2 linked regions of the Styela clava genome follow. The protein of the gene in region 2 interacts with the protein of the main gene of each other region in a biochemical or structural test. Links are inferred from orthologs where the notes say so. Each region holds a gene or a part of one and is shown on either strand. Other genes may lie near its edges.

Region 1 (7,212 bases), on a different chromosome or scaffold from region 2:
CCGTTGAAAATATTCAATGCGAAACATATTTCACCCCAGTTAGGAGCCGGAGACGCCCGGAGTCACTAAAATTTCTGTTGCTGCGGCTCTATCTAACATGGTAATCTTGGCTACAGCTGCGGCTCCAGATAAATTTCTCAGCTCCAGCCCTGATTGAATCATAACAATTTTAAAAAATTTCCAAAATCTGGGACTGGCATATGTTAACTAAATTGAGGTGATCTCTCAACCATATTTGCAAATACCAACCTTTAATGCCACAACGAATTTGCTCTCCTTTTCCCTTGCCAGATATACATTTCCAAACTTGCCCTTGCCAAGAGGTTTACCAATATCAAAGTTATCCAAAGACCAATGCCTGAAAATTAATACAAGTGTGGTTTACTAAAAGGAATGGATTATATTTTGCAATGCCCTTATAAATATATGATAAATATTGCCATGAAAATATCATGGTAACTACTTATACAGTCAAATCACTGAGGTTCCAATTACGAGGTGGAAGAAAGTGTAGTCATTGATACAATAAAATTTATCAAATAAATATTTGAAATTTCAGAGCAATGAAACTTCACCTATTATCAATGAAGCTCAATATTGTACTGGTTTATAAATCGCATGTATGGTTCCCAATGGTAATGTAAAATCCCAACGGTCACAACAGAACATGTTTGAGATATTATTAAAGGTTTGGTAATGGAGTGAATATATAAACATCTAGTCTGGCAATCCCTGATAAATAAACTCCTGTTTTGCACAGAATTTAATCAATTATAGGAAAGTTGATTGGTTATATAATGTTTCCACAATTTCATGTTCTTTGATATATAGTCTAGTTTACATAAGTTACATTCCAACTATGAACCAAAAAGCTTCAAACATAAATAAAATACAGGACCAAGTGACTTCAGAAAATTAGGAAATACCAATAAATCACTGCATTTAACTTTTAGCTTCCGTATTTTAATGCGCAAGTTAGAGCAAATTGCCAGTGACACAAACCCAATATTTTAATCTATTTTCGAAATATCTTGACTGTTTCATTCAGCTGCCATTTTGGGTGGATTTCTTACTTCTTAGTAGGAAACAAGGTATAGGGTTGGTTATTTCATATCATGAAACCCCATTGACCAGCTAGCTAGGAATTCACAGAAGCCAGATGAAATCTAAGAAAACAAATTGGAAATCAACTGAAACGCTACAGGTACCTACACATGGTCTCACAGAACACATGAGACAGCAGTAAACAAATGTCCTGTGACTAGTATCTATGCTTTTAACGACCTACTTCTTTTGTTGGACATTACGGACACTTCTTCTTTCTGGAGCTGCGGAATTTACTGGTCGTAGCGGAGGTCTCATGCAGCTTGGCTAAATACAGAAATAAAATAAGTGCAATTATCAGATTAATATACAACAGTCGCTCTCAAATTGGGGTCCGCGCAGGAATATCAGGGGGGCACAGCAAGCGCCCTCAGTTTTTGTGTTATAAGCTAATGTCGTAATTTGTATTTTCTTCTTCTTCTGAACGTTACAACTGTACAACACAGCAACAAACAGATCCCAGTTTCGCCTGTAGCAGTGTAGACTATATCCGTATAATCAGAGTATAACACAAGCAAAATACAGAAAAAAGTCACTTATATTGATTTATAAACCAGAGTGAACAATAAAGAAAAACATTTAATGTTAATAAAAAGATATCGCCAAGCTGAATATAGTTGGAGTCAAATTGCCCAACCAAAAGTTGACAGAGTTGGGTGCATGATGTGGTGGACTAACGTCTAAACCCAAACCAGTTGTCGGCAACTTTTTGTCGCTCGCGGGCCTAAAAAAGGGTCGTAAGTCAGTAAGTCATTGGCGGGCCGCACATATTTTCAGAAAGTTGAAAAACGAACGGATGATATTTTTTATAATAAAAAACAAGCAGTGATACATCTTTCGAATAGAATATAGGCTACATTTATTTCCTCACTGCATTGCATCTCATAAAATTGAATCATCCATTTGAATATTTGTGGCGTCATTAAACTTAGTATGAACTTTTCTGAGTTTTCCTGCCATTTGTCTAATTATAATTAAATGTTATGTTCATCAAACGAGGAATTGTGAATTTTATACTTGTTAAATTTATAATTTAGTCTACACATGTCTCTCAATAAATTCAGTTACTTAGTGAATATTAATGTCAAAACAGCTATTTTGGGGTCTGGTATAGTTTAGTACCACATCCACTTATAGTTGGCCTGGCTCAACAATTTTTGCATATGTCAATTCTAACCCCTGAACGTGACTACGTCACCAAAAAATTACGTCATTCTGACGTCACAGTGGCGTGATAAGACCCACCGAAGTATGCGAATGGTCATTCAAAACGTGCAGACGATCACCCGAAATCAAGCAAGCTATTTTCCTCGTTTTCTCGTCGCGAGATCGCCGGCTTTGGCAAGTTCGTTATCGGCGGCGCAGATGCCATTTCGGGCGATCGTAATTATACTTTGGCAATCCCTATGACAGTATGACGTGATGGCGACGTCGTAGTGACGTGATTTTTGAATGGCATAGTCATATGGGGGTTAGGAATAACATATGCAAAAATCGTTACCGGTATGCTACGCCGACTGGAAGTAGCCTACTTGTGGTATTAAACTATACTAGACCCCTATTTTGTTACTATAATTCCAGAATTCAGCGAAGCGTCGCAGGCCGGAATATATCACTCCGCGGGCCGTAGGTTGCCGACCTCTGGTTTAAACGTTAGAACACTTCCTTCACCACATCCTGACATCCGCGGGTAACAGGGTAAAGACTAAGTAAACCACACCACAGAACCAAACATAAACAAGATAATTTATGCTTACCGAAAGATGTGACTTCGGTCCGTTCATTTGTAACGAATTCTACTTAAATCAGCGTTAAAGACGATGGATAAAGTTACGTCAAACATAAAATGCAACGATAATACAGTAAAACGACCGGACCAGTTCCTGCAAGAAAAAGCGCACAATAATTTGAATTGTGTGACGAGAAATGCTCTGCCAATCACATCTGCACACTTGAGGCGCGATTCTCGTCGCACACGAATGGATTGCAAAACCAATGACATTTTTGATTTTATAGCATTTCTCACAACCACCACTGAAGACTACTTGTGTAAAAGTGCTTATAGGAAAATAATACTGAAAAGGTTTGTTCCCCCAAGTATGTATAAATCATTTTGGGAAGAATCATTTAATATTTCCAATGTGAAGTGGGACAGCTACTTCAAAATTTCCTTTTTATCAACTATTGAAACAAAAATTAAGGTCTTTCCAAATTAAACTTTTTAAAATATATAGTTCTAAACTATACATTACACGGCTTTGGACTAGTAGATACTAATATGTGTAAATTTTGTAAGCATACTATTGAAACTTTATTACATTTGTTTTATTATTGTCCCATAACAAGTCAATTTTGGTCTGAGGTAGACCAATGGATAGTTTTTAAAACAGAGGATATGAATTTTTGTCTCAGTATAAAAGTATGTTTCATAGGGTTTGATGATATTCCTAATTTGCAATTTGTCAACTGTGTATTATTGGCTGCCCGTTTCTATATATATAGATGCAGTAATTTTATAAAGCATAGGTTCTCAAAGTGCTCCGTGTGGAGGCTAATTTTGTAACTGTCCAAAGAAGCAACAACAACATTAATGAAATTTCACAACTGTGGCATCAAAATTTGGCAATATTGCGGCAATTCAATTATATATGACATTATCTATAAGCAGCAGCGCAGCCAGGATTTTTAAATAGAGAGCCGGTTTAAAATTTGGAATCGAATATTTATATTGTCTTGTCAAATTTATTTATATGTGTTTATTGTTACCCGCCTTTTGAGTTGAGATTACTGTTACGATAAATGAAATGAAATATTATTATTCTCAAATGACATCAAACACGTGCTAAACTGACGACTTAAATAGACTGAAATCATATTTTCGCGATATTTTGATTCGTTGAATTTGTGTTGTTTTTTCAGCCCTCAAGATTATTTTTAAGCAAAATATCGCCTTTCCGAAAATCCCAGGGTCGGCGTAAAATCTCAATGAGTACAATTTATAATTGAGCAGTTCATGACCGATCATTGTTCCTTGGTTTAATTGTGTTGGATGTAACTGTGGTTGAGTCGACTTACGATTATATAAAATCATTACTTATCAAAACTGCCTCGAGTTTGCTAGAACAAAACTTATGTCCGTTCCGTTTTAGGTTTTAGTTTTAATATTTTATAATGCCACTTTTCAATCAAGAAATTTGGGTTGCGGATCCACCTCTTTATTATTTATTTTTATCATCTCGTCGTCGATAATTATAATATACTAACTTGTTTTTCACACTGAACTCACAATTTCGCACGAGAACAAAAAAGTAAAGCCTTAATATCAGGGCCGGATTATGTTTTTTATAGGCCCTAAGCAACAAAACAGTTGCAGGCTAAAATACCTCTCTCGTTAGTTTCTATTTTCAGTGCTTTTCCAGTGTTTTCAATTTTCCCCCAGCTGATTTTTATTGCGCCTACCACCCCCAGTTCTGAATGTTTTCCGTACTCTGTGGGCTTTTTTATATTCGTAATTGTTGTCGTTCTATCTTCCGCCCTGAAATCTTGACTGCGATTTGGGGGGGGGGGGGGGGGGGGGGCTTTTTGAATACGTGCCCTGGGTTCACTTTTCGCTTTTTATCGGGTCGCTAACCTGAATGGATGGATACGTGTCCTGGGTGGGATTTTCACTCTTCGCCTTTTTTTATCGGGTCGCCCTGAAATCTTGACTGCGATTTGGGGGGGGGGGGGGGGGGCTTTTTGAATACGTGTCCTGGGTGGGGATTTTCTTTTCGCTTTTTATCGGGTCGCTAACCTGAAGGATACGTGTCCTGGGTGGGATTTTCACTCTTCGCCTTTTTCGATTTTTGCTCACTCACACGCTATTTATTTCCTTTTCATCTCTGCTCTCCCTTGGCTGCTCCCTCTGAACTTTTGCTCGCCCTTGTCTTCATTTTTAACTCCACCCTAATCGCTTGGCCCTCCTTTGCTGCTCCCTCTGAACTTTTTTGCTCGCCCTTGTCTTCATTTTTACTCCACCCTAATCGCTTGGCCACCCCGCTGATCGATTTTCGCTCACCGGGCTCTTATTTATTTTTCTTTTCATCTCTGCTCTCCTTGATATCTTTCGGCCTCAACTTCACCGCTCACTCCCATGCTGGCTCCCATTTATTTTCCTTTTCATCTCTGCTCTCCTTGGCTGCTGCTCTTGCCTGACCCTTTACTCCCTCAACTGCTCTGGTCTTGATATCTTACGCCTGGATGACTCTCTCTTGTCTCCATTTTTACTCCACCTTTAAACCTTATCGCTTGGCCATCCCGCCGATCGATTTTCGCTGACTCCCATGCTGGCTCCTATTTATTTCCTTTTCATCTCTGCTCTCCTTGGCTGCTGCTCTCGCCTGCCTCTTTTCCCCTCGACTGTGTGCCTTGTCTGATGGTCCACCCCTACAACTCACTCCACCATGTGGGGTTCGAACCACGATCCTAATGTTTGATCATGTCCCAACGCTTCCCCTGAGCTATCGCTACTGTCGAGGATAGGGTGGATTAAAATCTTACTTAATTAACGACGTCACACTTGACAGCCTATGACGAGTCTAATCGCCTACAGAACTGATGGCGCACAACCTGAACCCCAACCTGGTACACATACTATGTTAAGGTTGTGCGCCATCTTGGTGCACATAATTCGGGAGCTCCCAAATTACATTGATTCGAAGCATGTGTATTCATACCTCAATCGAAAGCGTTCATCTGGGACTATCGTGTGCGCTGCTTTAACTGTTGAATGCGTGAATATCCCGTTTTAATACTGTTGTTCATTTTAGTTTAGTTTTTAAGGAAAATGCTAAGATAATTCAAACTAGTGAATGTGCAAATCAAATTTCTGACTGTCAGTGGAGGAATACTAATTTAATCTTTTTGTCTCTTGTGCTAACTAGCCCCTCGTATCTTGGTTAACTTTTCTTAATTTATAAAACATCTCAGATCAAAATTGGCGATGCGTTAGCCCTTTTATAGATTGAAACGATATCATACACACTAAAAAATGAAAAAAAAAAACGTAAATTTTGTCTAAAGAGCCCCACGACATGTGAAACATGCTACCCCAGGCACTAAAGATGAAATGTAGTAAATTGCGCGTGCTATGCGCACCTTTCTATTCATTCTGATACTACGTCGTGGCCACGCGTCATATTTCCCGTGATTCAGATGAAATTTCAGCTAATCAATGTGAAGGCTATGGTCAATTAATCTTCCATTGTATTATAAGTGCATGCATTGGGGTTTGTATAATAAAATTTTGGACCTCCTGAAGTATGCGCACCAAGATGTCGCATAACTTGAACCCTAGCCTGGTACACAACCTGAGTTCAGATTGTGCGCCATCTTGGTGCGCATACTTCAGAGGTCCAAAATTTCTGTGGTGCCCCATTTTCCTTTGCTCCCTAAGCACGTGCTTATTTTGCCTACTAGACAAGCCAGCACATCTCAATATATATATATATATATATATATATTAAATTTAGCATCATTTATGGCTTTTATTTATCATATATATATATTATAAAAGGTTTAGCTTTTGAATTGGGTATATAAAGTAATTTCAACTTACCCATAAACATTAATCGTCAAGTAACAATGTTTTTTTTTTTTTTTTAATTTATTGTGGGCTCCGTGAATAATAATCAACTACTTCAACGGCTCCGTAACACCAAAAGTTTGAGATAATTGTAATTATATTATTATAACTATTGTATTAACTAATAATTTATTTTTTATTCATATGTATAGGGTCGTCTGGGATGACATTGTTATTGAATTATAGATAGGATGAAATAGTATTTATTAATATTGTATACTGCAATGATTTTTATTTATAAAAATCCAAATGGACGGCATGCATAGAATGAGAGAGAGAGAGATTTATTATTTGTCAACCAGAAAAAACATAAATACATTGATAATAATAATAAACAAGCCGGTAGGCGTCCAGGATCTCCGCTGACACCCAGGCCCGCGGCATACAGTATATCGCGAGGATCCAATTCATTTTAGTCTCTGTAGCACTTTAGTGGTCGGCCTAACTTCGTTCAGATTTAAATCTCTTTAATTTGTGCGCTTGGA
Region 2 (7,714 bases):
ACTACCCAGAAGAAATTAGGGAGCTCGAAGAAAAACTGAATCAGAAACAAGTTGAACTGGAATCAATGCAAGAAAAATGTGCAGAACTAAATAAAAATCTTACTGCACTTCAACAAGAATTTCGAGTAAGTGACAAAAGCTTAAGAAAAATTCACGTTTAATTTTCAGTGCTTGAATATTATAAAAACACAAGATAGGGAATAAATTTTTTTAAAGTTAGTTCTGTTTGACCTTGTTATATCGTTTGTGACGTAATTTTCGATGACGTAGTCAGATGGGGTCGAGCATAATATATATATATATAGAAAAGTTGAAGGCCGTACCCACTACGAGTACTCACTATAGAAATGTCCCTATGTATCGGTAATTTTTCGATATCAGTATCGGTTAAAATAGGCCGATATATTTAGCACTTTAATCTGATTTAGAATGTTTCAAGCAGATAAGTTAGTATACGTATGTCGATAACGGATCATGTCCGCGGCATCTTTTGCCTCCGAGTCTATTGCTCACATCATAGCGAGTAGAAACAGGTATTAGGGCGTTCGTTTTTTGGTACCATGACGTTTTATTACAATTTAAACTTCTTACTGTTTTGAAATCAAGTTATTATCATTTATACTTTCAATTTGACAATTTGATAGGTTATGCAGATTTTACCTGTTTTTAGCTATTCATGAACCATTTCATCTCAACTTATTTGACTATCTTCGCTGGCAAAGTTTTTTGTTTACATTTTCAATAATAAATGGTAAACATGACAAAATATCTATCAGACATCATGGTGAATTTTCCCGTTGCGTGACTCTTCATTCCTCGCGCCAACATCGAAACATCTACATAAACTACCATAAGATAGTTTACTTTGTGATTCCTATGGGAGAAAAGTCGATAAGACGGCTTAACCATGGGCGTACTACAACCTCTCGTCCGATTATCAGTACATGTCAGGTAGAGGAATAATTATCTAGTTATTTTATTCAGTCGTATAGATTTAAGGAAAGTGTTGGGATCCAAATTTCCATGATATAAAGCAGTCAACGATGTGATTACTTCACGTATTTTAATAAACCGTTGGTTATTCAATCTGAAATACTGTTCACTGTAGACATAGTTCGCAGACAACTTTTATAGTGATATCGGTCAGGGTTGTCCAAAACGAATCGAATATTCGAAATTATTCGAATATCAAGGTATTCGAATACCTTTTCGGCTCATTTCCGAATAATTACGAATAGTAGTCACTTTTCGCCGTAAACACGGTGTTTCGTTTTACCGGAATCTTCAAACGACTTTTTACGCTTTCTCACGTATTACATGACGATGAGTCGGCATTTTGATTGTTTATATTCAGCGCGAATGTACGTCGCATAGTGTTGCGACACATTTGCACGTTTGCGTTGGTGGACATTGCCGACATTCGTCTTTTAATTCACAAAATCATTTCCATTAGTCGAAAAATCGACAATCACCGTATTTCCCGGCTAATAAGTCGCTTTTCTAGACCCAATTTTGGCTTGATTTTTTGGGGGGAGGGGCGCCTTATTGAGAAAGCATGTTTATTTTATTTCTATGTGGCCTGCTTATTTTTCGCATTAGTCTTCTCAAGCATAATTTGTGTTAAACCTTATATTTGGTTCTTATGGGTGTGCCAATCATGATATTTAATCGTAGGCCGGTTATCGTTACTTAAAAGAGAAAACACGGCCACCGCCACCGAGATAAAGTAAGTGATTTATGACCCTTTGGTTTTGCCGATTCAGCAGAAAACGACAGGGACATGAAACACAGCTGTGAAATAACCCGTGGACGTACCGTGTGGTACTTATCACATTCCAAAATTATTTCAACATTCGGGTTGATAGGTTGTCCAAAATGATTGCCGCTTTATAATTTAAATTTACCGCTTCGTTGTTGAGAATAGTTAATTCCGTGAGTATGGTTCTACCAAACAAACATGATCTGGTTCTGTTCTGACCCTATAAAATTATAGATTGTTCAAAATGATTGTGATTTTTAACTTAAAATTACCGCTTTATTGTTAAAAATAGTTAATTCTGTGAGTATGATTCTACTAAACAAACGTGATCTGGTTCTAAACATTATTATTAGCGCATATTAGCATAACTGAACAACAGGGAATAATTTTTCTACCCGTCTTCTTGGCGGCCTATATGGGAAACCCCCTTTTTTGAGTGCTAAAAATATACATCGTCCTATTTGCCATGTAGGCTTATTAGCCGGGAAATACGGTATTTATAGCCGTAATTGTTACGATATCCAATAAATTGTCACAAGTTGGGAAACAAGTTGATTTATTAGAAAAATACTTTCACCCGCTTTCTGGAAAATAATTTTGATAATGATGGTCAAAAGTATCGATAATGAAAGTATTAATACCAAATACCACGGGTATTTGTGGGCATGAAATGTGTGGTGAACTGCCCAATTATAATTATTTTCGGATTCGTATTTACAAAATATTAAAACTATTATAACTCAAAAATACAACGGCGATTTGTGGACTTGAATGTGTAATAAAGTATAAATTATTTTTCCTACTTGTGACAATTTTTTCGAGTACGAAAATAAGAATCAAAAATTAATTATATCCGGGCACAATATCACGGCATTCTGTGGACATAAATTGTGAGGCAAACTCGCGATTGATATTAATTTTTGATTCCTATTTTCGTATTTACAAAATACAACGGTGATCTGTGGACATTGAACGTGTGGTAAACTACCCGATTATAAATAATTTTTGAACCCTATTTTCGTATTTATAAAATAATAAAAGTATTATTACACAAACATACAACGGCGATCTGCGGACTTAAAATGTGTGGTAAAGTTCCCGAATATATTTACTTTTTGATCCGTATTTTTGTACTCACAAAAAAATTGTCACAAGTCTGAAAATGAACTCATACTTTATCCCGCTTTTTGACAAATAATTTGGATAATGGTTGGTATTTAAAAGTATGGGCGTTTTACTAGGATGATTTTGTGTTGCGCAAGCATTCAAATCCATCACCGATACCACTATTTAAAATGCCTTGTCGTATTATTTTAATTCTGTTAATTAATACAACTCATGTTATATAAAATATATATCGCAATAATCTGCAAACATGAAATGCCTGGTAATATAGCCAGGTTGTAGATAGAAGTTATTCCATTGTTTATTGTATGAAAATTCCTTCATACACTTAGATTCTATTACTGGATTTTACTTTCGAAGTATTCGAAATTTCATATTCGAAAATAATAATTTCGAATGTATTCGAAATAGTGAACTATTCGGTATTGGCCATCCCTGATATCGGTACATCTTAGTAATTACTACATCAACGAAAATGGGTGCCGTACAGAACAAAAATCTTGGCCTCGCCAATACGTCGCATAACACCGTTGATTGTTGTATTTTGAGAACCTTGTCAGTTGTAATCCTTCACGGACCTGGAATTTACTTGACCTTATAGATTTGGTTTATCTTGCATCAGAGCCTATATAATACGTTGATGCAGCGCGTTCACTACCGTATATCTTTGTGTTGAAATTTGCAGTGGTTTGAGTAATTGTCTGAGACATTTTGTCAATAAAATTACATAGATCCAGCATACAATAAATTCTTTCGCTAGCAAAAGAGGATTTATTGGCTTTGGCTAAATTCAACACAACTCGTTATAATTAGGATAAAACCACTTTATACTGATTTTATTTATATCAGTCTTCTTTAGTGCACAAATTTTAATGTCAGATTAAATATTGCCATATGTTGGTTCTTATATGCCCTGTACATTACATAGATCACAGATCGTTAGCACTATGCTTGACATAACCGGCAATGGGACATGCTCACAACAATATAGGCTAATCAACACTATATATAATTATTTATACACGCATAAAATGTTACCATTACAATTTTCTCTCTAAAAATGAGCACCATTTTCTTAATATTTGTTGGTAATAAATTGTAGTATTTGATTAATACCCAAATCTATCGATTTCTCATATATTTGTTTGCAAAATTCGGCTAATTTTGGGCGTTGGTTTGCTGAATAAATATTTAACAAAATAGCATCGTCATGAGAGACCTTATTCTTGTTTGAACTTCCAACAAGGCCTTAAGACTGATGATTGATTGCAGTCAATATTAGTTGACTGAAATGAATTACATTCGTAGAATAAGTTTAAAATATGAGTGAATAAACTTGGCAAATATTCGAAGTAAACAGATGTTGGCCCGAGCCTTGACCCCAGAAATTTTTCTACAGTTAACCATTGCAAAATGGGATCTTTCGTACAACACCCGCGCCAAACGCTCAAAACAAGAAAATTTGTAAAAATCCGATTAGTGTTTGAGTTGCAGATTGCGTTGGAAATTGTCAAATCATTTTGAACCTCAACTAGATAATTACTAATTTGTTATTTAAAAACATAGCGGTGTCGTTTTCCCAAATCCCACAATTTTGCATTAGTGTCGGGGGCTTTCTACAAAAGATCCGCAAAAAGTTTGATGTTTATTACAGCAATGTTTTCGTGGTTTGAAATGTACAAACTAGTTCACATGTTCATAACCATCATTTTGATTCAACGTATCTGCTTACCTGCTATTAAAAGTACCGGTAGCTAATTTTAGGATAGTCTATCTCGGCTTTTTAGAGAATAACTGTTGATTCTGTAACTAAACTGAAACGTCAGAAAATCAATCTAACGTTTCTGTCATGCTCAAAAATCCCTCTGGGTGTTTGAACGGCTAAAAGTTGTTTGAACGGCTGCTAAAAGTTCAATTGTTGCGTCACATTCGAAATTTTGCTGACTAGTTAATGTCAGCCACTACGCCACCGTAATCACGCATATATATAGAAGAAACCTCGAATGAACTACGCGGGAATTTGTATCGAACTAGCATCGCATGCGCTCTCTCACCATCACAACGACGGGTTAATTAAAATATTATACAATGTCATACCTAATCTGGGACAATTTAAATCATAAGTTGATTTTGTTTGGTCCCGCAGAATACAGCTGCGCAGAATTGATGCATTGGAGCTGATAAATAATTCCGACTACATGACTAACTTAAACATCCTTATCGTAAAAATAAACACTGCTTTCGGAGCGATCTTCGGATATAAGGTTAACATTTTGCGTTACTAAGCATTCGTCAAACAAACACCAAACACTGCTTTTTACTTATGAACTTATTGTAATTTTAAGCCACGGCAGAAAATATTCACAAATTAAATTTTATTCAGGAAAAATCGGAATCAGAAAGTGAGCTCAAAACGAATTTGAGTTCAAAAGATGATGAGATATTAGAGTTGAATAACAGCGTAAAAGCTCTGGAAGAGAAACTTGACGTATGATTTCACTGAGTGAAATGCGAATCAGTGTGCTGTTTAATTCCCTCTAATTGATTTTTGAACCTAATGATTATTTTTAATTAATTTTATGTTTTATTTATCGTAACTATTCATTGGTAAAATCAATAATTAATTTTGAGGCTTAATTCAAAAATAATTTAAGTTGTTTCAAATTTCAATACATATATATGATTTAATTTTAAAATCTTTAAATACGAACATCATTGGAATACGTAATCGTTTATCATCAAATAATTTATCATATATTTACAACTATCGCTAAATACAAAACAATATCGGACTACATTGAGTCTGCTACCGTAACAGTACATATTTGGGCGCTCCCGAAGATGGTTCACAACCTGAACCCTAACCTGGTATACACATACTATGTTCAGGTTGTGCGCCATCTTGGTGCACATACTCTTGGAGTTGAAACTAATAACTAAATGTTTCAATGCTATACATGTAATGATATAAATCATTTATATAATTATAAAAAATCGAATGACAATACATAACTCTTGGCTTTGCTTTACTCTTTCTGCCGTGAAGACACAAATACATTTACGACGACACGGCGCAAATTACATGCAATAATTTGCACTGCTGTGAACTTCAGTGCCGAAATAAACTCGCGTTAGCGCGTTAGCATTCGGAGAAATTTATATTTTTCTTATGTTTCTAGATAAACGATAAAAATTTCCAACGAAAAGAGAAAGAATGGGGAGAAAAATTGCAAGAAAAAGACAAGAAAATCAAACAAATGGAGGGAACTTTTATAGATGTTGTAAGTTGACTCTTCTTATCTGGTTAGGTTAGATTACTACTTTGAATACAATCTCAATGCCCGGTTTACCTAAAGTCATTGTCCTTATAAATTTTCATATCACAAACTCATGTTGGAAATTGTTTTATTTTTTATTCAAATTTGTTTAAATTACAGCTGTTTTAAATTAATACACTGATAAATTTTGTTCATTCATTTGCATTAACATGCCATAAATGTCTCGAGATCAAGCCTTACGAAACCATGACTACGGGAAACTTAAAATAATGATTAAAGATTGTCAATAACCAATTTTATTCGTTTCTCTTAGATGCCGCCTGTAGAAAAACGACCTCAAAGGCGTCATCGTCCCGGTGTTGGAGGAAACACGGTGAAAAATGATAACGTGAAAGCTGTAAAAGTTGAAAAAAATCTGAATGACAGAAAGTTTTTATTGGATGTAAGTATTTTGATACCTTATATAATGGTTTATTCAATTCTTTCGATTTCCAGTCTAATTTTTAGACTTGCTGCTATTTTGTTAATGTGATAAAATTCAACCTCGTCACGTAGAGAAAATAGACTAGACAATTCAGTCAATGCGCCCTTTTCTGAACAAAAATTGGATCAATGAATCGTATTGCAAAACTGTTTTCGTGTCGTCTCGGCAACCAATGGACCTACAGATTTTGAACTGAAGATGGAGGAAAATGCCAGAAGATTAGCCGTTTCAGTCCTACGGGGCCTGGCCTTTTACTCTCATTTCGCTGGTTTTCATATATCACGGCCTCATCCTTCCGTGCTATTTAATATGACATTAGGTACAATTCTTGGAGCCGTTGGTCGAACATTTTATGAGATTGCAGTGGCCATATTAGTCATTTGACTTTCGTGTCCATATATTTAAGCATCGTTCTCTCGTGAGTGCTCAATTTCGTAATAGAAAAATATTAAAACAAAAGTCAAATAGAAATGCAGTTATTCAAACAATGTCATTTTAATTCAATACAATAAATATCAATCTCATCCAAATTGCTTCGACTTACTTTCAATTCACCGATAAGTAATTTGATACAAATTGATTTATTCATTTTTGTGTCTAATCAATATTTCCATCGTTATTCATTATCTTTGCGGAGAGAATTGTGGAAAGACAAATGTAGTCAATTTACATATCAGATTGCCTCATTCTACCACTCGCAGGTGCAAGTACTTTAAAAAATAAAAGAGTAATATTTTTTAATTAAAACAGATAATGTTCTAAAAACAGGTATAAAAAAGCATATAAATTTTGTTGATTTGTCAAATTTTGTTGGATTGGATAACCCAGATGCTGCTGACCTTGACTGTTTTTCATACAGCATTAAATTACTTTAGTCTGCTCTTTTGTAATATATTTGTTTCTCTATTTCAGGCAATCGCATCTAATGATCTTCTGAAACGTTCTGATGAAAGACAAAAGCAGGAAATGGTCGATTACATGCAGTATGAGGCGTTTCCTCAAAATAAAGTAATAATAAAGGAAGGAATGTACGGAGACCGATTTTATATAATTCAGATCGGAACATGT

What was found.
Region 1: of the proteins of E3 SUMO-protein ligase PIAS2-like (region 2) and aurora kinase C-like, one has a biochemical effect on the other in vitro, tested with the Caenorhabditis elegans proteins (2 studies listed by BioGRID). The link is inferred for Styela clava from reciprocal best matches to the Caenorhabditis elegans genes gei-17 and air-2.

The regions. Positions count from the first base shown.
Region 1 is NC_135254.1:24,608,144-24,615,355, reverse strand, and holds the start of aurora kinase C-like, read right to left. Parts: upstream 3,026-7,212; 5' UTR 2,889-3,025; coding exon 2,862-2,888; intron 1,372-2,861; coding exon 1,289-1,371; intron 359-1,288; coding exon 250-358; intron 1-249. UniProt on the Caenorhabditis elegans protein: Serine/threonine-protein kinase component of the chromosomal passenger complex (CPC), a complex that acts as a key regulator of chromosome segregation and cytokinesis.
Region 2 is NC_135261.1:9,102,604-9,110,317, forward strand, and holds the start of E3 SUMO-protein ligase PIAS2-like, read right to left. Parts: upstream 3,096-7,714; 5' UTR 3,086-3,095; intron 126-3,085; coding exon of another isoform or gene 1-125. Other genes in the region: cGMP-dependent protein kinase 1-like, read left to right, coding at 1-125, 5,268-5,372, 6,064-6,165, 6,476-6,604, 7,559-7,714. UniProt on the Caenorhabditis elegans protein: Functions as an E3-type smo-1 ligase. Mediates smo-1 conjugation to air-2 in vitro and is required for proper chromosome alignment.